Oryzias latipes: one gene and its partners. The protein of the gene in region 1 binds, or shares a complex with, the protein of each later gene. Links are inferred from orthologs where the notes say so. Each region holds a gene or a part of one and is shown on either strand. Other genes may lie near its edges.

The links.
Region 2: the proteins of ppp2ca (region 1) and serine/threonine-protein phosphatase 2A 55 kDa regulatory subunit B alpha isoform are in contact, whole or in part, in a cryo-EM structure (PDB 9C6B), measured with the Homo sapiens proteins. The link is inferred for Oryzias latipes from reciprocal best matches to the Homo sapiens genes PPP2CA and PPP2R2A. Residues at the interface, in NP_002706.1 of Homo sapiens: Arg89, Tyr91, Val126, Tyr127, Gly128, Asp131, Arg135, Cys266, Tyr267, Arg268, Arg295, Pro298, His299, Val300, Thr301, Arg302, Arg303, Thr304, Pro305, Tyr307, Phe308; in NP_002708.1 of Homo sapiens: Tyr86, Leu87, Lys88, Ser89, Ala173, Asn174, Ala175, Glu190, Asn201, Leu202, Trp203, His204, Ile207, Thr208, Asp209, Arg210, Ser211, Phe212, Asn213, Ile214, Val215, Asp216, Met256, Ala260, Leu261, Asp263.
Region 3: the proteins of ppp2ca (region 1) and ppp2r5a are in contact, whole or in part, in a cryo-EM structure (PDB 6NTS), measured with the Homo sapiens proteins. The link is inferred for Oryzias latipes from reciprocal best matches to the Homo sapiens genes PPP2CA and PPP2R5A. Residues at the interface, in NP_002706.1 of Homo sapiens: Arg121, Gln122, Gln125, Tyr130, Asp131, Leu134, Ala140, Trp143, Arg268; in NP_006234.1 of Homo sapiens: Glu146, Glu147, Glu149, Thr281, Lys283, Lys316, Phe317, Trp318, Pro319, Lys320, Thr321, Ser323, Gln324, Lys325, Ser362, Ser363, His364, Phe365, Trp407.
Region 4: the proteins of ppp2ca (region 1) and ppp2r5d are in contact, whole or in part, in a cryo-EM structure (PDB 8U1X), measured with the Homo sapiens proteins. The link is inferred for Oryzias latipes from reciprocal best matches to the Homo sapiens genes PPP2CA and PPP2R5D. Residues at the interface, in NP_002706.1 of Homo sapiens: Arg89, Tyr91, Arg121, Gln122, Ile123, Gln125, Val126, Tyr127, Gly128, Tyr130, Asp131, Leu134, Arg135, Ala140, Trp143, His191, Trp200, Arg214, Ala216, Leu243, Met245, Tyr265, Tyr267, Arg268, Cys269, Arg302, Arg303, Asp306, Tyr307, Leu309; in NP_006236.1 of Homo sapiens: Ile80, Lys82, Asn188, Pro189, Ala192, Glu193, Phe194, Asp195, Glu198, Asp199, Glu200, Ile288, Tyr289, Glu290, Glu292, Lys332, Val333, Lys334, Lys367, Phe368, Trp369, Pro370, Lys371, Thr372, His373, Ser374, Pro375, Lys376, Ser413, Pro414.
Region 5: the proteins of ppp2ca (region 1) and fam122b are in contact, whole or in part, in a cryo-EM structure (PDB 8SO0), measured with the Homo sapiens proteins. The link is inferred for Oryzias latipes from reciprocal best matches to the Homo sapiens genes PPP2CA and PABIR1. Residues at the interface, in NP_002706.1 of Homo sapiens: Arg89, Gln122, Val126, Tyr127, His191, Trp200, Pro213, Arg214, Gly215, Ala216, Leu243, Met245, Tyr265, Cys266, Arg268, Cys269; in NP_612206.5 of Homo sapiens: Asp95, Leu96, Ile97, Arg99, Glu100, Thr101, His103, Glu104, Arg105, Val107, Gln108, Met111.
Region 6: the proteins of ppp2ca (region 1) and ppme1 are in contact, whole or in part, in a crystal structure (PDB 3C5W), measured with the Homo sapiens proteins. The link is inferred for Oryzias latipes from reciprocal best matches to the Homo sapiens genes PPP2CA and PPME1. Residues at the interface, in NP_002706.1 of Homo sapiens: His59, Arg89, Gln122, Val126, Tyr127, Asp202, Ile211, Ser212, Pro213, Arg214, Gly215, Ala216, Gly217, His241, Gln242, Leu243, Met245, Phe260, Tyr265, Cys266, Arg268, Cys269, Thr304, Pro305, Asp306, Tyr307, Phe308, Leu309; in NP_057231.1 of Homo sapiens: Gly84, Gly85, Met157, Asp181, Val182, Thr186, Ala187, Ala190, Ser193, Met194, Phe197, Leu198, Leu291, Trp298, Trp301, Phe302, Lys316, Val323, Asp324, Arg325, Leu326, Asp327, Lys328, Thr331, Ile332, Gln334, Met335, Gln336, Gly337, Lys338.
Region 7: ppp2ca (region 1) and pdcd10 share a complex: the UniProt entries of both Homo sapiens proteins name them as parts of the core of STRIPAK complex. The link is inferred for Oryzias latipes from reciprocal best matches to the Homo sapiens genes PPP2CA and PDCD10.

The regions. Positions count from the first base shown.
Region 1 is NC_019872.2:4,047,586-4,051,404, reverse strand, and holds the end of ppp2ca (serine/threonine-protein phosphatase 2A catalytic subunit alpha isoform), read right to left. Parts: intron 2,633-3,819; coding exon 2,423-2,632; intron 2,309-2,422; coding exon 2,135-2,308; intron 1,967-2,134; coding exon 1,877-1,966; intron 1,321-1,876; coding exon 1,159-1,320; intron 984-1,158; coding exon 865-983; intron 771-864; coding exon 698-770; 3' UTR 71-697; downstream 1-70. UniProt on the Homo sapiens protein: Catalytic subunit of protein phosphatase 2A (PP2A), a serine/threonine phosphatase involved in the regulation of a wide variety of enzymes, signal transduction pathways, and cellular events.
Region 2 is NC_019870.2:24,073,831-24,078,102, forward strand, and holds the start of serine/threonine-protein phosphatase 2A 55 kDa regulatory subunit B alpha isoform, read right to left. Parts: upstream 2,937-4,272; 5' UTR 2,632-2,936; coding exon 2,625-2,631; intron 440-2,624; coding exon 371-439; intron 1-370. UniProt on the Homo sapiens protein: Substrate-recognition subunit of protein phosphatase 2A (PP2A) that plays a key role in cell cycle by controlling mitosis entry and exit. Involved in chromosome clustering during late mitosis by mediating dephosphorylation of MKI67.
Region 3 is NC_019882.2:6,262,099-6,265,917, forward strand, and holds part of ppp2r5a (serine/threonine-protein phosphatase 2A 56 kDa regulatory subunit alpha isoform), read right to left. Parts: intron 2,317-3,819; coding exon 2,120-2,316; intron 1-2,119. UniProt on the Homo sapiens protein: The B regulatory subunit might modulate substrate selectivity and catalytic activity, and might also direct the localization of the catalytic enzyme to a particular subcellular compartment.
Region 4 is NC_019873.2:12,867,708-12,872,094, reverse strand, and holds the start of ppp2r5d (serine/threonine-protein phosphatase 2A 56 kDa regulatory subunit delta isoform), read right to left. Parts: upstream 2,913-4,387; 5' UTR 2,614-2,912; coding exon 2,587-2,613; intron 1,406-2,586; coding exon 1,331-1,405; intron 617-1,330; coding exon 454-616; intron 365-453; coding exon 165-364; intron 89-164; coding exon 1-88. UniProt on the Homo sapiens protein: The B regulatory subunit might modulate substrate selectivity and catalytic activity, and might also direct the localization of the catalytic enzyme to a particular subcellular compartment.
Region 5 is NC_019868.2:26,644,316-26,648,134, forward strand, and holds part of fam122b (protein FAM122B), read left to right. Parts: intron 1-114; coding exon 115-179; intron 180-909; coding exon 910-1,006; intron 1,007-2,475; coding exon 2,476-2,614; 3' UTR 2,615-3,819. UniProt on the Homo sapiens protein: Acts as an inhibitor of serine/threonine-protein phosphatase 2A (PP2A) activity. Inhibits PP2A activity by blocking the substrate binding site on PPP2R2A and the active site of PPP2CA.
Region 6 is NC_019872.2:16,425,080-16,429,512, reverse strand, and holds the start of ppme1 (protein phosphatase methylesterase 1), read right to left. Parts: upstream 2,896-4,433; 5' UTR 2,713-2,895; coding exon 2,621-2,712; intron 1,966-2,620; coding exon 1,872-1,965; intron 1,321-1,871; coding exon 1,228-1,320; intron 1,089-1,227; coding exon 1,031-1,088; intron 618-1,030; coding exon 566-617; intron 1-565. UniProt on the Homo sapiens protein: Demethylates proteins that have been reversibly carboxymethylated. Demethylates PPP2CB (in vitro) and PPP2CA. Binding to PPP2CA displaces the manganese ion and inactivates the enzyme.
Region 7 is NC_019880.2:9,011,151-9,015,556, forward strand, and holds the start of pdcd10 (programmed cell death protein 10), read right to left. Parts: upstream 2,852-4,406; 5' UTR 2,722-2,851; exon of another isoform or gene 2,498-2,721; intron 944-2,497; 5' UTR 767-943; coding exon 677-766; intron 369-676; coding exon 315-368; intron 1-314. UniProt on the Homo sapiens protein: Promotes cell proliferation. Modulates apoptotic pathways. Increases mitogen-activated protein kinase activity and STK26 activity. Important for cell migration, and for normal structure and assembly of the Golgi complex.

The DNA of each region.
Region 1 (3,819 bases):
TTAACTTTACTCCACCCCAAGTAATTGCCACCTTTTTAATATTTTCAGCAGCATAAAATAAACAAAAACATCAATGTCACCTTAATCTTTATTGTTGAAATTTCCTATTACATAATATAGAATTCATGAATGAATGAAATTGAACATCCAGCATCTTATAAACCAAACTGCATTTATCAGTCTAAAAAGTTAGGACAACAAAGCCTTATGTATAGCTTGATTTAGGGGAATTTTATTGATTTGCAATATTTAAAAAAACATAACAGTGTGAATCTTTCATGTTTTTTTTATAACTTACATTTCTTTAAATTTACAAAAGTGCAAACAGAACGTACGCATTTTTCCTTAATATAAGCCAAAGCTGGTGTGACTCAAAGTGCCAAAAATGAAATCTTGGAGATTGGTGCCATTAGTCCAGCTACGTGCAAACAAAAGAAGGAATTTACACTTGACTTAAAGAGGAAAGGGGATATTTAGTACAGTCGTCAGCACTGATTATTAAAATGGTAATGGAACACACACCCTTTGGTCCACCCACAGACACAAAAATGCTTAAATAGGTCTAAGTGTGGATATACAATGTGCACTGCTGTGATGCTCCGAGCGGTGTCCCAGGATCCCATTCCACATTTGAGTTATTTTCAGCCGTATATGCCATTCTAGGCCTGGACTGTACGCATGGGTCTAATGTTAGAGTTTACAGGAAGTAGTCCGGGGTGCGGCGGGTTACATGGGGTTCCCCTCTGCGAGGCGCAGGATCAAACTGCAAGCTGCAGGACGAAAGGAAAAGTATTTTAAGACGTGCAAAAGTTACAATTCCCACCTTAAACTATTGCATCTGATGTTTTTAATTTATGTACTTACAAGGAATATTTGAGGGTGTCATCTAGTTCCATAATAGCTGCCTGGTTGCCACAGCGATAACAGTAGTTAGGAGCGCTGAATATCGTCACCACGTTCCTCTCATGGCACCAGTTGTAACCCTGAAGAGAGCAGATGTGTTATTTACAGGAAGAAAATGATCCAAAACAAACTAACACAAGTTCTACTGTTTGTCTTAATAAGCTCAAAATAGTAAACATTTTCCAGATGAAAAGTAAAAAAAAAAAAAAAAAAGTCAACGTTAGGTCAAAGTTAGGTTTTTTGAACTATGCACACCTCCATGACCAGCTGGTGGGCTCGAGAGACCAGTGTGAGGCGGTTGGCGTGGTTGAAGGTCTCAGATATGTCCTGACCAAAAGTGTAGCCTGCTCCTCGAGGAGAGATGCCCCAGCCGCCGCGGTCGTCAGGGTCCGACCACAGCAGGTCGCACATGGGACCCTGGAAACAGAGATCACAGGTTAGAACTGGAACAGGCCAGCTCCCGATTCTGACCGCAAACACATTCAACAGGCTATTTATCCTGGTGGCGTTTTATTTGTAGTTAAAAACTAAACACAGTAGGTGTAAAAACCACTCTGATTATTTTTTGGATCTATTTTAAAAGATTTCCCAGTGGTCTTTTCATTATGATTATGCCGTTTTTAGCCTAAATTTTAAAAAGCTGTGTTTTTTTTTTAAGGACAGTTTCTGCAGAGCAGCTGTAGTCCTTTATCGAGCCGTAAAGTTTTGAGCCAGACGCCAACTCAGACAAGGAAAACAAAGACGTACATGGATCTAGTCGTCTACAAGTGTTGGAGCGGAGCGGAGCGGAGAGCTTGTGGCCCCGCCCACAAATAGGCTCCTTTTCAAATGGCCTTTTTTCATCTGCTCCTGATTCACAATGATTTTAATAAAGAAATATTCAGAAATGCTATTTTATTCTTAATTCTCTCGATAAATGTCCTCCATTATCAGAAAAAATGCCACCAGCAGATGTTTAGGTTTAGACTTTTACCTCATGTGGCACCTCCTGCAAACGGTCCAAAGCCCTGATGTGATCCAATGTATCTATGGACGGGGACAGGCCTCCATGAAGGCAGAAAATCTGATGAAATAACAGAGAAGTTCATTTACCCACAGAATTAGCTCTGAATCTTCTCAAGATTTCCAGTTTAAAACAAACATCTTAAAACTACCTTTACTAGGTTAAATGGCAAGACAGAGCCAACCCAGTCTGTTGTGATCGTTTTGGTTTCTATCAGGGGTTCCTCACCTGAGAGTCTACCAGGGCAGTGAGGGGGAGGTAATCAAACAGGTCTGTGAAGTACTTCCAAACGTTAGCATTTCCATATTTCCTTAAGCACTCGTCATAGAAGCCGTAAACTTGTGTGATCTGTCTGCTCTCGTGGTTCCCTCTGAGGATTGTGATGCGCTCCCGGAATCGTACCTGTAATGCAAGCAGAGAAATCTAATTCACCTGAAAACACAATCACGAAACGGTCATTTGAAAACACCTTTTCTTTTTAATAGAAAAAGGGGTCACAAGTCTTCCATGACTCACTTTTAGTGCTACAAGTAAAGTGACGGTTTCCACGGAGTAGTACCCTCTGTCCACATAGTCCCCCATGAACAGGTAGTTTGTGTCAGGAGACTTCCCTCCGATCTTGAACAGCTCCATGAGGTCGTGGAACTGGCCGTGCACGTCACCACATACCGTCACGGGACATCTCACTTCCTGGACGTTTGATTCCTTTGTTAGAATCTCCTTTGCCTGAAAAGAAACAAGAAAAAGAGTTGATAGTGTCTTGTATAACAGAGAGACAAGACGTTGAAATGTGCAGATTATTTTGAGTTTATATCTGAGTGAGCAACACTGCAAATGCGTTACAATCCACAAGAGGTGTGTTTGGGCAAATTCCTACATGGTTCCTTCAGGATGCAGCATTTCCTGTCAATGATATTGCAGCTAGCATAAATGCTTTCTTAAGGCTGTGCGCTTGTGTCCTTCTTGCTGTAGAACAAACAGTTCTGGCTGTGCTCAAATACCACCAGAAATAAATGAAAATGGGGCCCCTAAAGCTAAAACTAGGAGAGATCGTTAGCATTTTAAAATGAAAAACAAAGAAGTCATTTCATTGGGCTCAACTTATTACATGTGTTATGGCCATAGCTGTTAAACACTCAGAAAAATACAGCTTTAGGCTGGGAAAAAAGTATATTTGGACTGTTATTGCTTCCTCCCACAAAGAGGTCTAAAAGCAGCGGATGCAGAGTCTGAGTCATTCTGCAAATGTTCAAAGTACAAGTCCTTGACTGTAAGGCTGCTTTTACACTGAGGTGGCCTAAATCAAACTAAAAATAGACGTATGATTTAAACAAATGTGGAGACTGAAATCAGAGTCTATTCTCTGAGTTTATTTCTGACAGGTTTATGTGAATAAAGGTTTGGTACCAAGACTAAGCAGGGCTGAAACTAAGAGGCAGGACATGTGCAGGACTGGCCCTGAAGCCGGGGTTTTTGACCCGTTCTTAGAGACCAACGTTGCATGACTGGCTCCTTCAAAGCTCTTTTGTGTATCCATGTGGAAAATCCATGCTGGAGGTGTGGTGTTTGTCAGCATTTACACGATGCTCCTCCGACCAAACAACGAGGCTGGCAGGCTGGGACTTGGCAGCGATGCAGCCAATGCAACGCTGCACACTGCTGACCTATATTCCACGTATCCGTCCTGTGGCTTTACCACCATGTGGCACAGGCTCTTTCAGCCGCCAGAGTCAGGATGGCAGCTTGACCAGAGCTTGTGCCTCCAAAGCAATTGAGTGACTAAGCCTGATGGAATATTCTAGACGTCTGCAGTAAAGTGGAACAGCAGCATGCACGTTTTCAATCCACTATTTGGAGCCACATAAAAGGAAAAACTAAGTGGGTCAGGTCAGCCTTCACTGCATTCTTCTGCT
Region 2 (4,272 bases), on another chromosome or scaffold:
TTGAGCCATGATAAGTTTGTGCATTACAGCAGACAGTACACATGTGATGCAGCAAAAAATGATCAGTCCATCATTCTAGTCCAACGTGTGGAAACAGAGTTCTGCAAAGACATGTGACCACTCAGTGTGGTAGAATGTTCTAATCGTGTTCCTTTTTTATTATTTTGATGTTGAAAACAACTTTATGACAATGTGAATGAATTTGCCATTAATTCTTGATCAAATCGGATCATTTAAATTGAACAAATATACACTATGACTCGTATCGCAACTACAAATGATATGAATCAAATAATTGTTGAAAATAAATTGTTATACCTGTATTTTTAATTTTTCTAAACAAAACTGTATTTCAAATGGTTCTTCGTACCTTCAGCGACATCATCATCGATGGCTCCTTTCACCTGAGAGAAGCACCACTGCATGTCACCTCCAGGTGCTGTGAGAAGAGAAAAATGAGTGGATTATCTTCAGTGACTCTTCTTGCCGTCTGCTTCAAACACCAGAATGACTTAACTGAAGAAGATTTTATTGACTTAATATTGCTCTAAACCTAGTGAAAAATGCTTTTTAAGAATGACACACTTCGTTGTCATCTGCCAAGGAGCAAGACAGAATTGAAAGTGGCCAACATGCCAAAGTGCAAGAAAATCATATTAAAAACCAAAAAAGTACAAATCCATACATAAAGGGTGACTGGGTGTTGACAGTATCATTAAGGAGCCTGATGGAGCATGGGTAAAAACTTTTTCAAGTCTGTTGGTCCTGGCTCTGAAGGACCTGCATCTCTTCCCTGGTGGCAGCAGTTAGAACTTGTGCTCAATAATATTCATGAATTACTTCAGAAAAGATCAGTGTTGGGACCTGTCTGAGATCCAGGGTCTAACAATGATTCCACTGACCATTACCGCAATATTTTAATGATCATACGTGCACACATGCACCACCACTTAGGTAGAAAACTGTGCAGCATCTTTTTTAAGAAAGTGATCATTCACACAGAATTTTCAAAATACACGCAGCCAGAGCTGACTTTTTCTTTGGTTGCACGGACCCGGATGAAGGGTTAGGATTAGGTTAATACACGCGACCAACCACAACATTTAGACTTGGCCGTACTTAAAATTTGTGCCGGTAATGCAGGAATGTGCATCTGTCCGCTAAACATGCAGCCAACATGAATTTCCATCAGTTTTTTGTGTTTGGTCCCACATAAATATGTGCAAATAACATAAGCTATATCTTAAAACATTAAGATACACCACTATTACTCGAGACAGTCTACACCTGCAAAACCAGTTCTGTTCCAGTGAGTCAACTCACAGCTATAAAACTACATGATCTTTTAATTACAATAAAAGTGGGTGCAGTCAGTAACTGCTAGACTGTTCTCTTCATCTTAGGTCTTGTAGCTGGTTAACAGCGGTCATGCTGAGGCCTGGTTTAAGAGGAACTCAACATACATGAACAATTCTGGCACTGCAATCATTGTGGCCACTTACAAAACTGAAACCGAATGTTTCCAACAGTCACCTTAAAGCAGGTTGACGTAGCAGCACATACTTTAACAGAGTACATTTTGTAGGATAAACAAGCCCAAAGGAAGCAGGTACAATCATTTCTGTGCATACACACCAGAAAGAGTCAAAACACTCACTGGAGGAACAAAATATCTCAAATGTTTTATTGGGGAGTCTTGTGCAATGCATTTGTCTAAAAATGTGAGTCACTCAAAAAATGGACGACGTGCAAGCATTCCACACTTTCCATGATTGACGTTTCTGCTATGCCTTTAAAACCAAATTTAAAATCAAAGTCTGCTATAGGGGTGGGGGGTGAGGCCCCCCCACCCACTGGAATCACAATACTTCGCTACTAAAGTAAAGCTAACAAATGAATGAAAAACATCGCAGAGAAAGTCTGAGCATTCTCTACAGATGAAATGGTCGTTATCCCGCGCCTCTTGTAGCCTTTGAAGCAGAAACTGCGTGAACATTTCCCTCAGAGCTCAGTGGGCCCGCCTGCTAGCCTGCATGTGAGCAATGTCAAAGTTTGCGCTAAAGCTAGCAATGACGGCTTGCCAAGCTAGCCGATGCATGTTTGAGAACTGTGGCGCTACTTTGAGCTTGCCCTAACGTTTGGGTTAATAACTCGCAGCCTTGTGTGTTGTTATTCCATTAAGAGGTTTGCACAGAAGTATACCAAAAGAAAACCTCCGTGTACGAGCGAAATACTCGGCCATTAGCTACAAAAACTTAACACTATTTCATGCCGGTGCCACAAAATTATTAACAGATTTGGCTAAACTGCCATGCATATCATTATCAGGTTAGTAATGCAACCTATTTGTGTAGATAACAGCAAAACAGCTGTAACGGTAACTGGTAAGCTAGCTTTAACCGGCAAATGTTTCTGTTGTTGCGCGAGGACAGTCGAGTTCTGTGAATAGCTTAGGTTAGCACTAGCCAAGTTCGGCTAACTAGCTATCGTTAGCTAAAACAGAAATGAACTGGTGGGTGAATAAAACCTGACTCCCGGAACGCAGAGACGACCAAGAAACGACGTTTTAACAATGAAAAAAAACATTTTTTTTCAGAACGTTTAACACAGTCCAGACGAATTACCTGCCATGGCGAGACAGACAGTGGAGCTTGCCTCAGTCAGTTGGTCACGATCCTGCTTCCCACTCCCACGCGCTGATTCGTGGGATCTTAACTTTTTTTTCCTCCCTCCCCCCCCTCCTCCACTCAGCCTCTGTTCACCGAGCAAAGCAGAACAATGTGTGTGTTTAAGTCAAACTGCGCGGTTCGGAGTTCCCGCTCGTCTCTTTGCTGCTCCTGGAAACATTCACTCCCCCGCGGTGGTGCTGGTGTCTCGCGCTCTCTTGCCGCCGGCTGCTCCGCATCCCAGAAGTCAATTCTTCAAACTCCCCTCGAGTCTCTTCCGCACGTGAACCAAACCCTCTTTATAATGTGCACGCGCATGACGGATGTTTTGTCAAAGATTAGAAAGGCCTAAAAGCAGGGCTCTGCAACCTTTAATACTTAAACAGAACCAAAAAATATGACTTCATCGTTTAGAAAAAATAGGACACCGATATGTATTTATGTTATTGTTATGATAAACATAATTTTTTTTTGCATACAAAAAGATTAACATACAGAGAAAATATATATTTTTCAAAATATGAAATAGTTTATAACTTTTGACAGAGGTTGACATGACATCCTTTCAAAATAAAAGACACCCTGAGGCCTCATAATCCGGTGCACCTTAATTTTGGTTTTGCTCACTGACCTCCAGTTGATTTTCTGTGGTACATGGCGCACAAAAATCTGGCATAACGTTTTCGTTCAACCTGTTAATGCGTACTGTTCTTCAACTGTTTGTGTATGAGGTCATTTAAGTCAGTTTGCTTTTTTTCTTTTTACTTTACAGTTACTTATTTAAATTAAAAACGTTTTATTTTTCTGTAACCAGAGAGCCAAATTCGTTTTGGAGCTTCAGTCAGCAGACATCTGGATTAAACCAATGGTCACACTGACCTGTTTGATACTTTTACTGCTCCGTTATACTTTAGCATGTTCATGCTTAACATTAGAAAAACTAAGTTTACTGCAAAAACGTCTTTGATTGCATTTAATTAACCTGCAAGATATTTAACAGCTAAGTTTAAAAGTTTAAGATAAATTAGCAGAAAAAAGTAAGTTTTTAAAAATTAGAACTGGTCTGATGGTATAAAATATAATATGCTAGCTGAGCAAATTAAATACTTTAAATAAAATATATAATAGAAAAATTTAAAACCTAAAAAAGGTTTAGCCTTGACCACACAGCTACATTTTTCTGGTCTCAAAAGTCAGATTTTTGTTGTTGGTAATGTTGGCTTTGTTGCCCCTCCAGATGGTTCTACTAAAAATGTGAAGGTGGTTCACAAAATCTGCAAAATCGAATTTGTTTTTAAGGTGAAGTCGTTACCCCCAGAAACCCCCCACAATTATTAATTATTTTTCAAATATAAATATACCCATCACAAACCTTTTTACCCATTTTCTTTGTGAAATTGCAAAGTAGGATGAATCAATTAAAAACTCAAAAGGAATTTATAGGTTTAAAAACTTGGAACCCATTTGAAAAATACAATCTGCTGATGCTCTTACTTTTTCCTCCCCATGTTTTTAAGTTTCTAATTAATAGGAATATGCTTTGTATTTTTCTTTTTTTATACGTGATTTCTTACTGTGGGTCCTTTTTTCTTTTTAATTTTTTTTT
Region 3 (3,819 bases), on another chromosome or scaffold:
AACCACCTCTTTTTCTTTAAAGAAAAAAAAAGCATACTAATAGAAGCAAAATCTCCTTTGATGCAAATAAGAGACTTTGATGTTTATACCTCTGAAAACCCCAGTGATCAAAGCTGCAGCCGAATCAGGAGCAGCACTTAAAGAACTCATTATTTCATTGTCCTCTAACGCTAAGCAGCGGATGACGGGCCCGGCTTTCTGACATTTTAGCTGACTTTCACCTCAACTCTGTCAGAAACCGAGCCATGAACCAGTTTCCTGTCACTTAGCACCTATTTTTCTCATCATGCTACAAACAAATTACACAATTAAAAGAGTCGGACAGTACAGATCCATTTATTGTAAAGCTTTGGCGTGCCACAGTTTGGAAAATTCAACATTTAAGCCTCTAAACAGTCTAGATACCTTAGCACAAACGCCTGTAGTAACAAATCTGCTCAAATGCTCGGTTATAACTTAAAAATTTCAAAGAAACCTCAGTCAATTACCCACAACTAAGATTTCAAAGAGGAAAATCACAATGGTTGAATCAATAGTTGTGCAGTGCAGCATGGAAAAACAACCTACGTTCTCCGTCAGTCATTTAAATACTCCTTGACTCAGCTCAGGAAGTGCTCACTCATATCCATCATAATAATCTCTAGTGTGGACTGAATCACTGCAGCACTGACTGCTGTGCTCTAAAAGGCTGCAAGTGACTCACTTTTACACTGTGGGAGGAAACGATGCAGCTCAGGACACCTGCGATCAACACAAAATCTATAACACGCCGGCCAAGAAGATGTTCCAGAGTGCTGCTGGGCCTCTCGTTAAAACACCCGATTGTGTAACTCCCTCGTGTATTAATCCACTTGCTAATCGATATTAGATTCACATGTTCACTAAGCTGATGGATGCAGGTCTATGAAGAAAATCATAGCCCATGTGCATTTTAAAATCCTTTTTAATGATATTTAGCCATGGAGATAAATATTTCATTTGAAATCAATGATATTACTATCAGAAGAGAAACAGAAACAAAGTTTCCTGGAAATCTCCTTTTAACTAAATGAAAACAAACATTACAAAAGTGCTGTATGAAGTTAACTGATCCATAGATACCAGTGCCTTGTATTCATTATATAGTTCCTTGATTTTTTTCATGCCTGGTCTATCGTAATGACATTGGGGAAATACAAAAACATTTATAAATGTCATTTCCATCCTACAAAGAAAAAGCAAAAAAATAATCGCAAGAAGTTATTTTTCGCAGATTTACTAAAATATGGCATTTGATGTATAACGTGCATCATAAATGTCATAATGTACAAAATGTGTATATTTTTCATTTAAAATCTTAAAGAAAACCTAAATTTAGAACGACATGATAGATAGCTTATGGAATGACCTTCAACCACAAATCAAATTGGCTAAATCGATAATTAAAAATGTTCCAAAAGTTAGAACATTGGGAATTCTTAGTTGTTTTGTCCATATTTTTAAGCAAAATATGTGTGTGCTGGTGTTTGCTATTAGGTGTACATTTTTCCTGTTTGTTGTTTTTCGATAAGTAAAAAAAAAAAGGCTTTATTATTTATTTGTTTTATTTAATAAGGACAGTGCACATTAAAAGCATGGCTGCAATGCGTCAGAATTAGCCCAAAGGCTATTTTTCATCTGTAGTCCCCGGACAGATGTTAAAATCGTCAACCATTATTTAATAATGCTTTCCCCTTTTACTGTCACAAAAACAAATTGTGCGTTGTATTATTATCATTATTATACAATCATTATGAAAGTTGTTTTCATTTTAGGGTAACTATGATCATTTTTGCAATAAAACTTGCATTAGAAAAATAACTTCAAGCAGCAAAATCCTGTTTTACTTATTTAAATATCAAAAATCTATCAATACATTCATCTTCTTGTGTACCAAACGTGACTTGAACCCCACCTTCTGCGGACTCTTCCAAACAGGCAAAGAATCAACAACCTGATCTAAACTTTTGTCCCAAACACAAACACGATTCTCACTCTTTTCTGACAAACTGCTGGACAGCTGTGCGCAACCTTTGGATGGACGTCATGTTTCTTTCATGAATCTAAAAAGGGAAATGACATTTCCACGGGAATGGCTCACCATATTGGTGATGTCCGGGTATGCAGACTCCACCAGCACCCCTCTGTAGGTTGAAACATATTCAACTAGCTCATTGAGCGTGGCCCTCTTGATCTCCTTGCTCTTCAGGTCCGTCACGGAGTCCAGGAAGTCGAAGAGAACACAGCACTGGTTAAGCTTCTGCATGAAGAGCTCCTGCTGCTCGGCAGAGGGGGTGTCTGGAACAATAGGAGGAAATGAGAGAGGAATTCATTCACTTCCGACAGGCACAAAAATGGCAAAACACACGAGGCAAGTCCACTCAGTTGGCTACCTTTAGGTTTTAAATTTTTTTAGAAGAAAAACATTTTTTTCAAGTGGTCACAAAAACCAAACATACAATGCCCCCTTAAAAAAACAGCCTTGGCTTTGACAGCAAAGCCCTTCAGTCGTCAAGCTTAACCCAACAAGACCTGGCAGGCGTCCAAAAGCGCACAGACACGCTGTCCAGTTATGTTGCCGTCCAGCAACCCAGCCGCCCTTTGTGTAACCGTAGCGAGCAGCTACAGCTGAGGTGAAGCCGCACGCTCGGTCTGATTTACAGCAGCTTAGCAACCAGATACTCCAAAGGTGATGGGGTTATACTAAATTATACGGTGTCCACGAAAGCTTATTGCGCTGAGGAGCAAACGGTCTTCATTAAAGTGAATGTCTCAGATCCATGCTTAATTAAATTCTAGACATTTTTCTGGCCTACTATAAAATCTCAAATTCTCTTGTTGACCAACTTTAACTTGAAATGAGAAAAGGTTTTTAAGGAAGTAATAATACATTCTTATTGTACATGTTTGTGTCATTGACTGTATACGAGAACAGGACCTAGTGAGTGTAACACTCCAATGAAAAGAAGTCAATTTGGTCGCAAATGTTCCCCAATACAGACGTTGCCACGTTGGAGCCAGATAATTTCAGCAAACGGCAATTGGTCCAAGTTGGTCCACATTTCTACGGCAACCACTTTTGCCACTCAGGAGTGAGCTTGTTGAAAGGCCACACCCCTACCACTCGAAAGCTGGCTAAGGAGAATCTGTCCATCAAACATTTCAAATGTCCAATGTAGGCCTGCACAATATATCGCAAATTTATCGTTATCGCAATTTCACGCTGTGCAATATGCATTTTGCAAAAGACGGCGAAAATCGCAATAAATGGTTACCTTAAATATGCTAAAACAATCTTATGGCAGCTTGAAGTATTTAACGAAACAAACAAATCCCTTTATGTATTTCACCAATCAAATGGTCTCCTTTACATCATAGACCAACGGGATGGAGGCCTTTTATATTAGATGTCCGTCTCCTATGTAGATGTTGGTCATTTGTAATGTCATTTTTAAACTGTTGCAGTGAAATGGAAATGATGTTTTTGGTTGTTTTGCTATATGTTCATCATCGTCATTGCAATATCGCAGTTTTCCTGATATTGTGCAGCCCTAGTCCAATGTAAGATAACATACTTTTGAGGGATCCGATTGGTCAGTTTAGTACTTAAATGACTTGCAATAAAGAAAAAATATATATGACGAAAAAACGAGGACTAGCAAGAACATGTTTTTTAAAGAAAAAGGTAGCAGAGCAAGAATGGTATTTCTGACAAATAGAATGACTGAGTAATAGCTGTTTATTTCTCTATAGAAGTCTATGGGGTTTTGGCTTCTTGGAGCCACCAGGTACTTCCTGTTC
Region 4 (4,387 bases), on another chromosome or scaffold:
CCAGAGTGGGCTCGTCTTCCTCAGGGTCGAACTCTGCTCCGGTTGGATTGGAGGAGGGGGGCAGCGTCCGGAATAGGTTCATCGAAAACTGAAGGGACACAGAGAAGCCGTTCAGCACGCTCTCATCACAACTTCACATCTGCCCAGGCTAGCCGCCGCCTCACCATAATGACGGCCTCAGGGTAGATGGCCTCCGTCAGCACGTCACTGTTGTGCGTGATGTACTCCACCATTTCGTTAAGCCCCGCCCTCTTCACTTCCTTGTACTTGAGGTCGCTGAGCGGGTCGCTGACAAAGTCGAAGAGCACGCAGCACTGACGCAGCTTCTGCACAAACAGCTCCTCCCGCTCCACAGGGGGGGCATCTGAGGAGGGAAGTGACGGGAAAACAAAGCTCACCTAAAGGCCAACCTCAGCCACAGATTTATGCGGTTCTGGTCAGGGTTTTGGACACCTTTAAGGGCGGGCAGCTTCTGCAGCTCCCGGTTCCTGGTCAGGCTGAAGCGGGACGAGCTCTGGCGCCGCTCCTTCTTCACCAGCTGGGGGCCTCCAGAGTACTTGATCTTGTTGAGCTGGGTGGGAGGGGGTGTGCTGTTGCTGTTGCGCTTGCAGTTGCCCTGCTCCAGTGATTGAAAAGTTCAAACAGGTGAGCACACAGCGCCGACTGACATTCACATTCCCCAGACCAAAAAAACGGTGAAACCATATATATGTGTGCAATCTGCCTTAACAAGCAGACCTGAAAACTCTGATGACAGGCTGCTGTGAACGCATCACGGTGGCCACTAAAGGGACAACGGTCCACACACCTGACCCCTGAAGTGAGGGGAAGAGGCACTTTTCAGCTAAATCTTCTTATGGTCCTGAGGATACGTCTCAAACTTCCTTTGAGGCAGCAGCCCCCAGATTCCAGGATGCCCCGTCCCCCCACCTGCATGTAGTCGACTCAGTTCAGTTTCAAAAAGCGTCTTAAAAGGCTTTTAAATGGGCAGACTTTGACTGGTTCCCTTTGATTTGAAGTTTTTCCTGTCTTATTTTCTGTTTAGATCTTTAGCAGCTGTTTTTTGTTCCATGACTTGAGATTTATTTGTTGCTCATTAAAGCATTTATGATTTGTATCCATCAAAGGCAGTCATGCATACAGAAACGTACTCCCTGCCGAGATCAACATGAAACCTTTTGATAAAACCAAACAGAAGGCAGTCTGTTCTCAGCAGGTGTGAAAAGCCTGTCAGGTGTGAAGCTAGGACCTGCTGAGGGCCTCATAACACCCCCCCCTCTCCCCATGACCAGCTTTACTGGATTCATCAGACCTGCTGGTGGCCCCTTACCTCATCAGAGTTCTCAGAGGCGGCATCCTTCCCGCTGCTGCTGCTCTTGCTGCTCTTTGCAGATTTGCCCGTTTCCTGCAGAGACACAGACATCTAGAAATGAAGCTCCTGCTGCCCCCACCTGCAGTCCCACTGATGACTCCCTACAGGTGGGCCTCATCTGGGACTGGTGCTGGGGGCGGTACCCTTAAGGGTTAAAGGGCTCGTGCACTCTCGCCAAAACACATTAGGAGATGTCTATAATATTTTAAAAGACACTAAGCTTCCTAGTCTTTAGGACCATGACAACTGGAAATAATAGTAAATCATGTTTACCCGTCTGTTCATCTTAAGGGGAAATTTTCTTGAGCTGTTTTTGTTTTCTTCAGTTGTTTCTTGGAATGTTTTCCTCATTTTGCTGTAGTTAGATCCAAGTCTCAAAAACCGTGTTAACTTTTGTTATATCGATTTCAAAAAGTAACTTGAAAAAGTGTGATCTGTTAGAATTGGGGCCCCTCATCACTCAAGATCAATGGTTTGAATCCTGCCTTGCTCAGGTGACTCATTAATAACTGAGTAAGCAGCGGACAGTCAGACACTCGCAACCGAGAGGGGGGGGGGGGGGGGGGGGGGTTCGTGCACGGTGCACCGCACACTCAGATGGACAACGAAGTGGACACCCGAACCCATAATTCATCCGTAAATCGACCAGCTGATCAATGCAACGTTCCAGTCGCTGCAAATTCACGCGTGTGACTTTTGACGTGTCACCGACCCGGGGAGGGGACGTGGGGGGATTCCGGCCTGTTACCGGCGCGGTCTCCGAGTATCTGAACGGTCGCAGATGCCAAGCAGGTAAAACTGGATGAGAGAGGCGAGCCGCCGCCTCCACAGCAGCCTGTTGCCATGCCCGTGCAGCAGGTGAGGGGGGGACCGCGCAGAGAGACTCTGCTCTCCACGGGTCATCTTGGAATCATGCATGAGCGACTCCTCCCGAACTTCTGCTGTGGATAACTGCTAACAGTCTGCGGGTAGGCGGTTTTCCCTTAAACACCCGGAGGTCCGTGTAGTTTCAGAAAAGTGAACGCGCTTAAGTCTCGGAGACGACTCTACCGCTGCAAGAGGGGGGCTCCAACCGCTGCTAGCAAGGCCTGCTCGGCTAGCGGGCTAGCTTCCCACTGCTCAGTAACCCAGCCCCGCCGCGCGCGTCACGCAGCTTTCCGGCATATTTCCCCACGAAACACACCTAAGCTGCACCACTACAGTTGCCGGCCTACCTTCTCCTTCTTGGTTTTGTTTGGCATTTTGTCTGCGCTGCAGATATTATCCACCGAGGCTCCGTGATGATCTTCCACGGGACCTAGATGCTGTCACTAGGTCTGTCTGTGCTCCCCGCGCTTGCTCCAGTATTGGCGAAGCTGATTGGCTGGATTTCTGCACACCTACCTGGCGACGATTGCGAGGATTTTTCTGATTTGCTGACGGTTGTACAGCGAGTCTGCAGGGCGAGGCTGCAGGGCGGCCAGGGAGTTCTTCCCCAGCAACAAAATTCCTTGCATTTGGCTTTAAGAAGAACCAAGTCCGAACCGGAAGATCTCAATGAGTTTTGACTCAGTGAAATAAAAAATGTTATCAAATAAAAGAAAAATGCTTGCAAACTTTTTTCTGACTATTCTCTGTTCCACAGCATTGTTAAAAAGTAGACCAGATTTGACTTTATTTTCTTTTTCATTTGAAAAAGTGCTCAGGCTAAGTGTTTTCCCTGAAGAAAAGTTTATTATGGGACAATAAAAAAGTTGAGCTAAGGAAAATGGGTCAGGGTGGATCCAGTTCAGGTACTGTACTTCATCTGATTAGAATCTACAAATGTTTTAATACATTATAGATGTTATTTTCTGTGACGCCTTATTGGACAAACCCTCTCCTCCCACCGCACCAGGAACCGTCACTGGTAATGAAGAAACTCCAAAGATGGTTGCAGCGAAGGAAAGGCACTTGACCCGGTCCATTTGTATCACTCACCACTCAGAGGAGTCCTGGCTGGTCCAGCAGCAAGGGGACGCATTTTGGTCAGCTGCCCTCCAGAACCTGCAGAACCACAGACACCGGAGCTCATCTCAACACAATTCTGTGACAAACACATCAAAAACATTTAGTTTATTCAAACTAGAAAACTGCATTACCTTCAATAATGCAAGTGTGAATGCTGTTTGCAGAAGCTGTTGCTGGAAATGCTGAAGGGATTTGCTAAATGACAAAATAAGAGAACAAGTTGAAGCTTGTCCAAACAATACAAAAAAAAAAAGACTGAAAAGATGCAGGAACTTTCAAATTGCTTGATAAATAAGCAGCTCTGTTTCTGTTTACATCATTCAGCTTCCTGATATGAGATAAGGCTTTAAAACAATGAATGATGGCTCCTAAAAGCAGCTTGTTGGTAATTAACTTTGTGATGGCGAAATAGTTGTTGAGCTGTTGTTTAGGTCAGGTGAATGAGATTTCTTAAGGCAAAATATCTTACAAAGCACTGAAACTTGAAAAAAATACTAAAAATAATTAAAATGTCGGACCTAAATGCCCAATCACAATCCAGGATTAACAGAAAATATTGAGCTGTGACCTAAAATGCGCAGGCTTATGACAAAAATGCTTCTCAAGAATTACCTTTATTTTTCTAAAACATCTAGCACAAAATGTCAAAAGCATTTAAGGTCAGAAATGAATAAAAAAAGACATTAAATTAAAACCATGTAGATGTATACATGAAATTCTAAAGTCACTGGGCGATCAAATTTTGAGCAAATTCTAAATATACATTTGTGGGAGCACTTGGATTGTTAGTAAATGTTTTCTGATAATACCAGAAACTGTCATATTTATTTGATATCATTACTATGCTAGTCAGAATAATCTGCACTGGGACTGATAAATTATATAAACATCTGCACAGATACCATATAGATTTGTCTTAAAGAACACCAACCATGGAAAAATGTAAGCATACATTGTAAGACTGGGGTTGTACATCCATTCTCTTCTTTCTACTCCCTTTTCAAAAAACTCTTTAAAGTTAGGTTT
Region 5 (3,819 bases), on another chromosome or scaffold:
TTAATTGAAGGAGCTCGTGTGATTTGGTGTCACCAACGACAGCTCTGGTGCTTTAAAAAAAAAAAAAAAAGGTTAAATAAAATGGCTTGATCTTGTTGGATCCGGTTTCTTCAGCAGGCGAAGTCAGAGTCCAATCAACTGCATCCGAGCCAGCATTCTGGGCCCAATGAAGCGTAAAGGTGAGACGGTTTTCCGTTCACAAAAAGTCGTGCCACGGCCTGATACCGTGCGAAATATCAAGCATTGCATTCTGGTCGTAATAATCTAAGGATAGAATCGCTATTTAAAGAATTACTTTACTTAAGTGGCTATCCTATTAGATCCACAATTCAATGTATTGTGTTTGAATGGTTGCTGGAGGTTTTTTTTTTTTATTGGACGTGTAAAAATTTGATTTAATTATCATCATTTATACCTTTTATTTGAAACAGGAGAATCAACTAAACAACCGATAAGAACACAGATCTTAAAATATATATATCTATATATATATATATATATATATATATATATATATAGATATATATATAGATAGATATATATATAGATATATATATATATATATATATATATATATATATATATATATATATATATATATATATATATATATATATATATATGTATAGATATATTTATCCACTTTAAATAAGTGTAGCACATTTGGTATGTTTGTACTGAAAATGCGACATTATTTCGTAACTTTAAAGCCATAATGACATCACCTGAATGTATTTTTACTATACTTTTCCATATTCATAAGCATTGTGTATCGGCGATCTCGGATAACAAATGTGTGTGCTGTATTTCTCCGGAACGGATCGCAGATTTCGGAGTTTTCAGTTAGAGGGAATAAACTCGGTGCAGAAGTTTTCTTGTTTCCAAACATCAGCTCTCTTTGTTTGACAGGTGAGATGGAGACGGAGAGTCAACCGAAGAGACTCTTCCAGGGCACCACCACCATGCTGTCCTCAGACGCCTCCAATCTGTCTGACCTCAGCTCCTGGTAATCGACACCAACCCGCCCGGTTCATCTGGGCTGCGGCCAAACCCAATGCCCTGGAAAATTCCCAGAAGTCTCTGCAAAAAAACTAGGCTGTTTCCGAATTCCTGCCCTAACCCCTTACTACTAAAAAACAATATAGTGTGCCCTGAATTTTAAAAGCAATTCAGACACCACGCTCACTACTTTTGTTTTTAAACGGTGGATATGACATCATGGATTCAAGAAGTTAAAATATAATAAATATGAGCATTTTGCGACGATTATTTATCGTCCACTGTCTTCTGAAGATAAAAAACTGATGGTTTATTAAAAATAATACATTTAAATAAATTGTTTGGCAAAAATTGCTACGATGCAATGCATTGTGGTTTATATTCGCCGATCTAGTGAGCATTGATGCACACTGGTTTGTCGCAAAGACTTCTGGGAAATTTCTAGGGAACTCGATTTTGGAATGGACAGCACTAGAAAATGGCAAACGCTCTATTATATTGAGTAGGGAAGGAATTCGGACACAACCCTAGTGTGCATCGATGCTCAATATAGACCACAGTGCATTGTGTATGAACAATGTGTCATTTGACGAAATGTACGTCCATTGATGTGGTATTTATCATCCACTTTTTCATCTTCAGAGTTTTGGTCAAATGTTCATATTTATTAGGTTTTTACTTCGGCGAAAAGGCGATAAGAAAGCAAGCAGGAACCGTGGGTCTAAATGTAATCAAAATCCAGGCGGCTGGAACGTCCTGCACTATGTTTTCCACACTACAAGGCATTCCGGATCGTAAGCTGGATGGTTTTGTTCCCTCGGAAACTCTTCTATGATTGGTGCAGATTACATTTCCGTACCACTGATTTATTCATGTTACAGGGCCTATATTATATCTTTGGCACATTAAAGAACACAATCTTTGTTAAATTAGTCATTTTCGCAGCCCGTTTTCCAACCCGGCTTGATCTCTGAGGCTCCGCCTTTCGCTCCGTGTGGGTGACGTCAACCTAGAGTCGGCCTCGGCGGCGTGTCGCCGCTCGAAAAGCAAACAACATCCATACTTTAGCATAGATGGTGGATAGTGTGCATATAAATTGATATATGATAATGATATGGGCCCTTTAAATTCTCTGCTTGATTCCCATGTTCCGCTGTGTGATCGATGGCCTTGAGGTTGAAATCTGTGTAAGCGAGTCTCATGACAGGCGCCATTTTTCAGTGGTTCTACTTTGGTTAAACGTTTTGACAGAGCGCCGTGTACTTCTCCAAATTACATCATAAGTAAACAGAACCAGATAGAATCTGTGTTGTTGTTTTTAGAAATAAAACAGCCATGTTCATGTTGAGGCTGATGCAACAGTCACCCTGTGGGTCGATGGGCTTCAAAGACAAAGTTGTCTCCAAAGAAGACATCTTTGTGTATTTGTTGTTTCGGTGTAAGATGTGAGATTCTCTTCTTCTTTGTCTTCTCCAGTCATTCTCCAGACCTGCTGGACGGCAGTCTGAGCAGCATCGGCTCCTCCACCGACTCCCCGGGGAAGATGGAGGGCGTGTCCCCGTCCTCCTCCAGCAACTCCCCCTTCGCCTCGCTGCAGGATCTGTCCCCGAAGTGAGGGCACCAAGAAGACGTGAAGGACAAACGGGGCCCCTCCCTCCACGCCGAGAGGGATCTAGCCCCCGCCGTTAACCGCATCCGTTCATTTCTGTGAGTTCACCCCGTTTTCCCCTCACGGCTGCTTTTCATGAAGGCGGAGCTCGTCTGAGGTTCGGAGACGCCACCCGGTGTGGGGTGGGGTGGGGGGGTCTGTGGAATGACTGAAGACACTGTGAGCACCGGCTGCTAGTTGGGGGTGTTGGATGGTGCTTTGCTTCATGCTTCTGGCTTTCCTGCACACCAGTGAGCACACAGAGCACTGGAGAAGACATTTTGGATGTGTACATTTTCCTGTTATGTGCTGGAAAAGCTTCTTTCTGTCAGAAAAAAAAATTTAACTTATTTTGGTTGTTCTTTTTTTTTTTTTGCTTTCTTTGTAATGATGTACATATATTTAGTTTTGCATCGAAACTATTTGTGGGCTACATCTATTGAGCGTTCCTGTCGTACTTTAAAAAGTGTGGAGAAAGTTTCCAGAATGTTTTTTATCAGCTGTGAATGTGTGTTGTGCTTTTTTGTTTATTGTTGTTGTTTTTTTTTAAATTTCCCATGATGCCCGACTCCCGTAACGATCTGCTGCAGATGTACAGAATGATTCCACCTCTAGGTAACCCCCCACCCTCCAGATGAAATGTGGACATTCCAGCTTCGACACTATAGCTTTCCTGTTTTGTTTTTTTCCCAGAATTCCTCTGGTGTGGACGATGAATTAGTTCCTTCTGGCAAAGTGTTCTTATTTATAAAGAAAGTAAACTTGGGTGGTGATGGATTTCTATCTCCTGTGAACAGTTTATCCATGATGATCAAACTGCTGTGACGAAAAAATAAAATATAAATATATATATATATATAGAGAGAGAGAGAGAGAGAATGGGTTTGGGGGTGGGGGTGCCATTGCATTGTGGGTAAAATACTGCTGGTGTGGTTTTGATTTAAAAAAACAAAAACAACAAAAACCCCAACTTGCTGCACAGGACGCTGCGAGTGTTTCAGTTGGCGTCTTAAAGCCAAATCATCCAAACTGTTTGATGGTGGGGGGGTTCGAGCTTTCGAGCTCGCACTGTGACATTTGCACCGTCTTCAGTCGTCATGGCAACCTGGTCTCGTACCCCTGACCTGTGTTAACTTTACCAACCCTTTTTTAACGGCTCCGTAGCCGTCAAT
Region 6 (4,433 bases), about 12 Mb from region 1:
ACTAATTTGGCACGATTACATAAATGTACTAAAAATATAACGAGTTAAAGAAGAAGAAACGGGATTAACAAGTGGAGGTGACATCTGAAGAGTAGCGTCAAAAAAGATAAATGCTACAAAAAGGATTTTTTAAAATAAAGACGACATACACAAAAATTGTGTTGTTGTTTTGCTTTTGCATTTCTGTACTTAATTCCTTACACTTTATTTCATTTTGAAAATCTTTCATTTTCTTGACAGTGTCCAACAATATTACTCCAAATCAGCAGCAGTCTAGCAGGTGGCAACAATTGGTTCCCTTTTTCATTTACTAGTTTACAAGAAATACATAATTACAAGAAAAACAGATTAACTTGGTACATTACTAACTCTGAAAGAAAAATACAATTGCATAAAAAAACCCAAAACGTATCTTTTTTTTTTGGTAGTTTAATCACTCCATATATAGCCAGTTTATAGGATTTCATATATTTCTTGGACATAAGCCAGCAATAAACAAACAAACAAACAAACTATAAACCCACTTCAGACAAAAAGAGATAGTATTTACAAAACGGTATCTTACTTTGCCATGGTATCTGCCGACAAGTCTTCAGGATTTTTTACTTTGGTGTCACCTGCAGGTTTAAAGACGAGTTTCAGAATTTCTTGTTACGCTTACCAAACAAAAAAAAAAAAGCAAAGCATTGGTTCTAAATTTATATATAAACACATTTGTGTAGAGTAAAAAAAAAAAAAAAAGTTAAAATTCCTCACAATGTATTGCAGAGAATGAGAATGTTAGTCTTTCTGGAGAATATACTACAGGGTGGATAAAATTGTTAGTTAAAAATCACCTGAAAGGATTCCCAAGCTTTCTCATCTTACCGTGACAATCTCAGATTAGTTTTCTTTTTTTTTTTAAAGAGTAATGATTGGAAAACTTATTCCATCATTTTTGCAGAAAAATGTCAGTTCTACAGAAATTATTTTACATTTAAAAAATGGGAAAAAGTCATTTGTTCCAAAGCCTACAGAGTATTTTCCTTACCATGAGCTCGCAAGTCCATGGCAACCACCCTACAGGTAATCATGTTGGATATGACTGACTGTAGAGACATATACAGAGGTCATTTCAATCTGTATTCTGGGCAGTCTTGCAACACACATATTGTTATTATTACTCGTTATATTGGTGTACGATTACTGTTTAAGAATAGGGGATTATGCAGTGGTAATGATACCCACAGTAAACACTGCCCAAGAAAGTGCAGAATGGCCTCCTCCATGGAGCAGCAACAGCACAGGACCAAGTGAACCACTGCAGTAAATTCTGAAAATGTGTTGTGCGGTCAAGAAAACAAAACGCAAGGCTGTAAGCACTACATTAAAACGCTAAGCAAAACTAAAACCTAGACCAGGAGTCTGCAATGTGGCTCCGGAGCCTCATGTTGCACAAAAAAGATGCTGTTGCGTTGTTTAAAACCTTTTTAGGAGAACATTAGTTGCAATAGGATGACCCTGTTCGGCACAGGAAGTCTAATTTTGAAAGGAAGTCATACAAGCTTCTGTCAAAAGTAAGAAAGAAAAAGAAAAAATTTCACACTTTGAGAAAAAGCTACTCTCACTTTATATTTTTGCTCTATATTCAAGCCAAAAATAAAGTAGTATCAACTTTTCCTAAAGGGCAAAATAAGACTTTGTGATTCCAATGAGATTTTGATCAGCAAGAAACAGGCCCAAACGGCTCCTTTACTGCTTAAGGTTGCAGATCCCTGGCCTAGACGAAGAATTTGAAAAGCATTTGAATCTTAATTCCATGATATGCGTAAATCAAAACAACAAAAAATCGTCACGGCATTCTTGTGAAACAGAGATTTTGGGAAGGATATATCTTTGCCATTTTCATTTTCCACTTCAACATCCTCCATGGTTTCAAAGTACTGACTCCAAAGCAGTGGAGTAAAATCTTTCTTCCGGCCAGGTCTATAAAAAAATATAAATACAAATAAAAATGAGGGGGAAATCATTATGTACAATATACATACTATCTGTACCTCCAAACTGTGGTTTGACTCCATATTACCCATTAGTAAATTACTGTTTCTATTCTGCTGGCTGACACACAGCTGCCCCCTTTAGAGGCACGACTTATGCAGAAAACGAACCACTTTAACGAAGTTAATGAAAGAGTCATCTTCATAAGAATGTAATTACACTTTTGGATTAAATCAGTAAAACTGTATTGTAAACTAGATTTTGTTTATCCTTTGGTGGGCGTAACGGGGGTCTCCTGGATCAGAACATAACAAGTACGTATATATATTCTGATTTTTTTCTTAAAGAAAACGATAAGCTCTACACAGCATCAGCTAGACTTTGTTAACTCAAAGGAGTTATATGTATAAAAAAACCTCTGCAGCAGCTGCAGAAGGCGGGTCGTGCCTACTCTATAAGCGGTAACTAGGCTAGCCTAAATGCTAACTAAATATTGGTTTTCCTTCAGCTGTGTCTGGCTTTTCGGCGAGCTATTATTCAGACAAAAGTTCACAGTATGGCTTTGACAAGAGGTATGAAGAATAACACGCAAATGTAGATATAAAAAAACCCTTTAACGTTTTATGAACTGTTAGCTTCTCACCCCATCTTGATTTTAGAGCCAGACTGAAATCCACCAGGACCAGCCATTGGAGGTCTGGAGGCCAGCAGGTTTAAATGCAACTGTTTCTCCATGCTGTGAGGAAAGAGCGCTCTGTCAAGAGATGTCTAATATAGCCTTCCCTTTCTTTTGCTGCATAAGATAGTTTCTGACACTTGTACTGACGTTAACCAAACATTTGATGAATCGCTATAGCATACAGGCTAACGGCTTCTTTGTATTTTCCGTCTTTCTTCTTGTTCTGCGTAGTTTTGAGGTGGTTTTCTACTCATTTTTTGAAAGTGCTGCCACCTAGCGGTAAAAAAAGTACATTCATATCTCCAACGAATGAACAAGTAATCATCAAAGCTTTTTCTGTGCTTTATAAAATATTCATTTTTCTCAATGATTAAAATCGTGTCTTAAAAACAACAAGTTGTCGTCCATTAGACTGGTAATCGGCTGAAAAGTCTTTTCTCTTCTGCTCCCTCCCTTTTACACTGTAAGGCATGTTAATATTAAACGCTAGTCCCTCACTCATTACAGTGATGATGTGATGTGTCACAATTTGTTTATACGCATTTTCACAACATATTTAACAGTATTTTTTTTCTGAATCACAAAAATTGAACTTTTGTCTTTCCTTCTCTCACTCTTTACTGAGCTGATAATATTTAGGGATGTAACTATTAATCGATTTATACTCCTACAATCCAACCAGATCGATATGTTAAGGGAAGTTGTTAACTGAATCAAATAAAATCACCTGTAGCATCATAACATTGTTTCAAAATGAAATAATGCCATTTTAATCAACGTTGGAAAATGCAGAAATACAGTCCATCATTCCACTTTGAAATTAGGAAAGACATATGACCGTACAGTATGATAGAATGTTCTAATGAGGTTCTGTTTGTATTATTTTGATGTGGAGTAACAATAGTGGGCTGAACTTCAGGAAACTAAAATGTGAATGGATTTACCTTAAATTCTTGTTTACTTGTTTGTTTGTTCTTATATTTAATTTACACTTGATTATCTTGCAAGAAATACAAGGAATCTGGAAAACTTCACCTGCACTGTTTAGTATCCAGGTATTTATCACTCAGTCACACTGGTTAAGTTTTTTGTTAAAGATTCCCTGGATCCATTTTAGGCCATTGACTTAGATCAAATCGGACCGTTTAAAATTAACCAATATCGACTATGAATCACATCACCAACCACAAATTATTATTTGAATTGAATGATTGTAAAAATAAATTGTTCTTTTAACAAACCTTGTCTTGGACTGCATGTAAAGTAAATAAATGTGCAGAACGGCAGCTCTATCTGGAGAACATAAAGCTGCTTGGAACTCATTGAGCCATAAATCACCAAAAACTGCAAGATAGTTGAATTCTTTGTCTGTGTTTGCAATAAACACGTCAGTATGTTATTGTAGTGAAGTTATTACATTGATACCTTAGAATTTATAACATAGACCAAATTTTAAATGTGAAAAAAAGGTGTGGGGGTATACAGAAAGAAGTTTTCTTAGGAGATGTTACTTTTAAACTTTAGAAAGTGTCACGTGACATTACATAAAGGTGTTTGCCATTGACCCATATAAACTATTTTTTGATAACAAGCTTTCAGCTGTCCAATTAGAGAACGCTTTAATCATAAGTCATGCCAGATCAAATGCCAACCTGGTTAGCCAGCTCAGATAGGTTTGTGCAAACCAGGGCATCCTGACGAGAAGAGGACTACTGGGACCAGACTTTCATGGACTACTTTCAACAATATTTTACCAGTACTTTTGGACTGGCAGGAG
Region 7 (4,406 bases), on another chromosome or scaffold:
TGCTTTTAAGAAGGTGAATGGAAAAATGACTTTGGTGAAAAATCTCAGCAAGTTCTTTTTTTTTAAAGCTAAATTCAACATGAAGGAAGTTAAACACAGAAAAGCTTTTTTCTTTTTTAAAGCAGAAGTCATTCATTTAATTTCCAGATGCCCTCCCCAACCATGAAGACGCATAACTCAACAATAGGATTTATTTTTTTAAATTACTGTACCCAATTGCTATGACACACATTCATACTCTTTGCAACATACATATGACAGGAGTGGGATCACATGATTTTACATTTCCTCTTGGTTGATTCACGAGGTCTCACCTTTATGAAAGCTGCCCTGAGCGTCTGAGCTGCTGATGGATTGATTCTCTCCAGCTAAAAAGAAGAAACAAAGAAAAAAAGTACAGGCCATTAAAAAACAAAACACACCAGGACAGAGAGCGGTGCTTAGCGTTAACAAAAACGTTCACAGAAAAGAGAAAAGATTAGAAACAATTTTTGAGAAGCATTTACTATTACAAAATTTTGAAAAAAGTTCAGAAATATCAATTCTTCTACTTTAGGTACTAAATTTGGATTTTATGATAAGAGAAACATCTGTCAACTTCAATTAAAACTCTATAAAAAATATGTATTTTTTGGACTAATGTTTTTTCATTTTTTAATTGTGATGGCAATGTTACCTCATTAAAAACTGGGAACATCACAGCATACAGCGTCATGGATACCATGGAGTTAGTCTCCGCTTCATTCTTCATCTCCTCCATTGTCATCCTCCAGGGAGGAGCAGCACTTGTTAAATTAGTGACAAAGAAAGTGCAGCTCTCGCACACTCACACATACACCCACTCACATACACACACAATCACTCACACACACAGACACACACACACACAGACACACATACACACACACAGGACAAGCCGCACAAGTTCCAGAATGCAAGTGACCTGCAAAGAAAATAAAACAACAATAGACGGTTATTGATGAAGGTTAGAAATTTGATTATCTTTATAAAAACCAGCTTTTGGTTTCCATTAACTTGATGGTGAATCATTGGTTTTACTTTTACAAAGATATTAGTCCTTGTTCAATTACATCGGTTCCAATTCCGCAAGAAAATAATTTCTAGATATGAGCCGAAATAATTTACAGAACTTGGTACCGAGAGGAAAAACAGAATATTGCTTAGCCTTGCTCCTAATTGGGGAAGTAGCTCTTCTATCTACAAGCTCCATTCATTCAAATATAAATTTCAAAACATTGTTGGCACATTGTGCAAAGGCGCAAATATTAGAGTAAAATCCATAAACAGATTTTTTTTTAATGGAAATAGACTGACATTCCAGCTACCATTAGAAAGAGCAGCTGGAATGGACAGCCTTAGGTTTCAGTCACACTTGACCTGTTCAAGTTAAAGAAAAAGAAATGATCCAAGTTAGTTTACAGCTTGTAAATGTTTCACTAATGCCATAACAGGGGTCTACCATAAAAGGAAAAGGAAAATAAAAAAATACCTGACTATATATTAGTCATAAAGCACAAAGGGGTAGGTACCAAGTGCCACTTCAGGGGGGGTACTTGGGGTTTTTAATAAAATAAGAAGCTAATTATAATTGTAAAAGTATAATGAAATCTAAATCCAATTTTATTATTGTTAAAGATATTTCAATTAAGATTTAAAATAATTCTCTATAATTCGTTCATAAATACAATTTTGTACCTACATTTATAGACTACTCTTATGAATTTACATTAAACCCCCAAAAAACAACAACATAGGGGCTTACCTAACCTAAAATGTTTTATGTTTTTTTTTTATCTGCAGAGATAAAACTCAAATTAAAGTTTTTCAAATAAATCTACAGTGCCACATAGTAGTTTGTTCTGTGATGATTAATAGCAGTTACTAAAAAGTAAAATCTGAAAAATAAAGAATCATACGCTAACCCGCCCACACAGAGGCTATGTTTTGACGCCAAAGGTAAGAGAACCTGTTGACTTTTTTAATTTGGTTAAGGGGAGTGGCACGCTTTAATAATGTTCCTTTTTTTTTAACAAAACCTCACTGTGAACTTAACTGAAAATCTAATTTAAATCTAATTACTTGACAAACAATATTATTATCGCTAAGTTTCTAAAACGCAACATACGTAAAGAAGTAACTAGTCACATTAGAAAAAAAAAAACTACTTCACAGACTAGGTAAGAATGACAAGTGTTCGTAGATGAAATATTACTGAAAACGGTGAGTGTAAATGCTTAAACAAAAGGAGACAAAGTTGGTCTAGTTTTTATTCGTATAATGGTGTCTGAAGCGCTGCTCGTCTCAGTTGGAAGCTAAACTGACCAGTTAACACTAGCTACCGAAATACAGATAGCCCTAGTAGGTGGTAGTGCTAACGAGCTATCAGAAAGGCTAAGTCGCTGACGTATCATAAAATTAAGAAATGTATTTTAAATAAAACGAAGTAATGTCAATGTTTAAAAAACAGCACTATTACCTGTTGGTGTTAAGTCACACATGTAAATCGATCTAATTTTAAAGACATTCACTTGAGGCCTATAAGCGATCGAATCGATATTAGCAAACTGCTAGCTTTGAATAGCGTAGCTAGCTCAAATAAATTGAAGCTTTAATCCCAAACGGCCCTAAACACTTACACAAACTGACTGCGCTGCGCAAATTATCCTATACTTGTAAAAAAAAAACGATATTTGGTTCTACCTTTGATCTGACTTCTTTAAACTGCTGGCTATTCCGTCGATTGCCTTTTAGCTCCTGTGTTTTCTTTACAACTTGAGGCGGAAGTTTCTTCGGACTGGCCCGAACGACATTTTCCGGACCATTGCTACGTAAACGCCCATTTATCCAATCAGAGAGCGGAAACCGAAACTGTGCAACATACGTCATTTAAATGCTCGCGTTTCAATCGTTGCAATCATTTTTCGAGTAAACAGTACTTTTATGGTTTCACATAATTAAATAATAAGCGAATATAAAATAACATCAATAATAAAATACTTTAAACAATAATTAAAAAAATTCATGATAATAACAATTACACACCAAAAAAAACAGGATGTATTTTATACCATGAACATAATTGGTAGTAACTCACAATAAAAGTATTTAATTACACAAACACTCAACTTTGTAAAATAACAGTTATGTAAAGTATTACCAATAAATATATTTTACATTTCACTCAGTGAATGTTTAGTAACTCTTGTATTACAACAGACTTGCCACCTCAGCAGTAGCCTATAGGTGTTGTAGGTCACTGTACGCTTTTTCACATTTTTGTCTCAAATTAAATTATGGAGACAAATTTCCTGTTAGGATAACTAGACCTAAAAAAATTATTTCCTTTTCATGTCAGGTCCATTTCACCCCTTAAATCCATATCTGCCTGACCTGTTGTTGTAAGTTAAGGGTGGTCATATTAACCTACTTCAAGTAGCATTTTATTTGTGGATATTAGTCTTTTAGAGGTACATAAGGCTTTTTTTTAGAGTAGTAATACTTTTCAAAAAAGTATAGACTAAAATGCCACTTTAAATTGTTATGGTTTGCTTGTGCAGGTACAAGCTTAAAGGTAATGCTTCAGGAGACATGTGAAGCAGTGCGATTTTGAGCCAGAATTCTTTTAATACAAGGCATTACTTCAGAAATGTGTTACGTTTTGGAAGTAACTTGCAAAAAACTGATTATAACCAAAGTAAAAGAAAAATTAAACATGTTTACTTAAAAAGGAGTAAAAAAAAACAAAACACTCCATTTCCACCACCCAAATGATGGTGTTAATTTTTTATATTATTTACAATTTCTCTATTTTTTATTAGGTTCAAGAAGTTGTCATCAAACTCTTTCAACCCTTTAACTATCCAACCAAGACAAAATCAAATTTTTAAAAAACTGTTTTTTTCTGCTGCTAATTACCTTGGGGGAGTAATTCACACAATGTTTTTTAATCTCAATTTTTCTAAATGTGCTCTACTGTTTGGTGGAGCAGGCAGTTGAGTGTGAACGCTGATCTGATTCTGCCCTCTGGAGGAAGAGCAGAAGAACAGTTTTATCACAAAAAGAAACACACTGGTAACCAACAGGAAACTTTCATCAACCTGAGAAACGGTAGTGAAAGCAGTGAGTCCACAGACAAACCCTTTCATTGAAAAATGTAAAGCTCACTGCATAAAACTGGTTTAAGATGTGGTCAAACAAATTTATAAGTGAATCTATTATTAAAGACAAAATTGTGTTTTAGGTGTTTATAACATGTTCCAGTAACATTATTCTCAAGATGTAGGACATAGAGAGAATTGAGCTTAAAATTGTATTTCTGAGAATATGTCTTTATTAAAACTGTTGGGATTTAGGAACAGAAGAAAAAAAGCAGTTTAAAAAGAGCT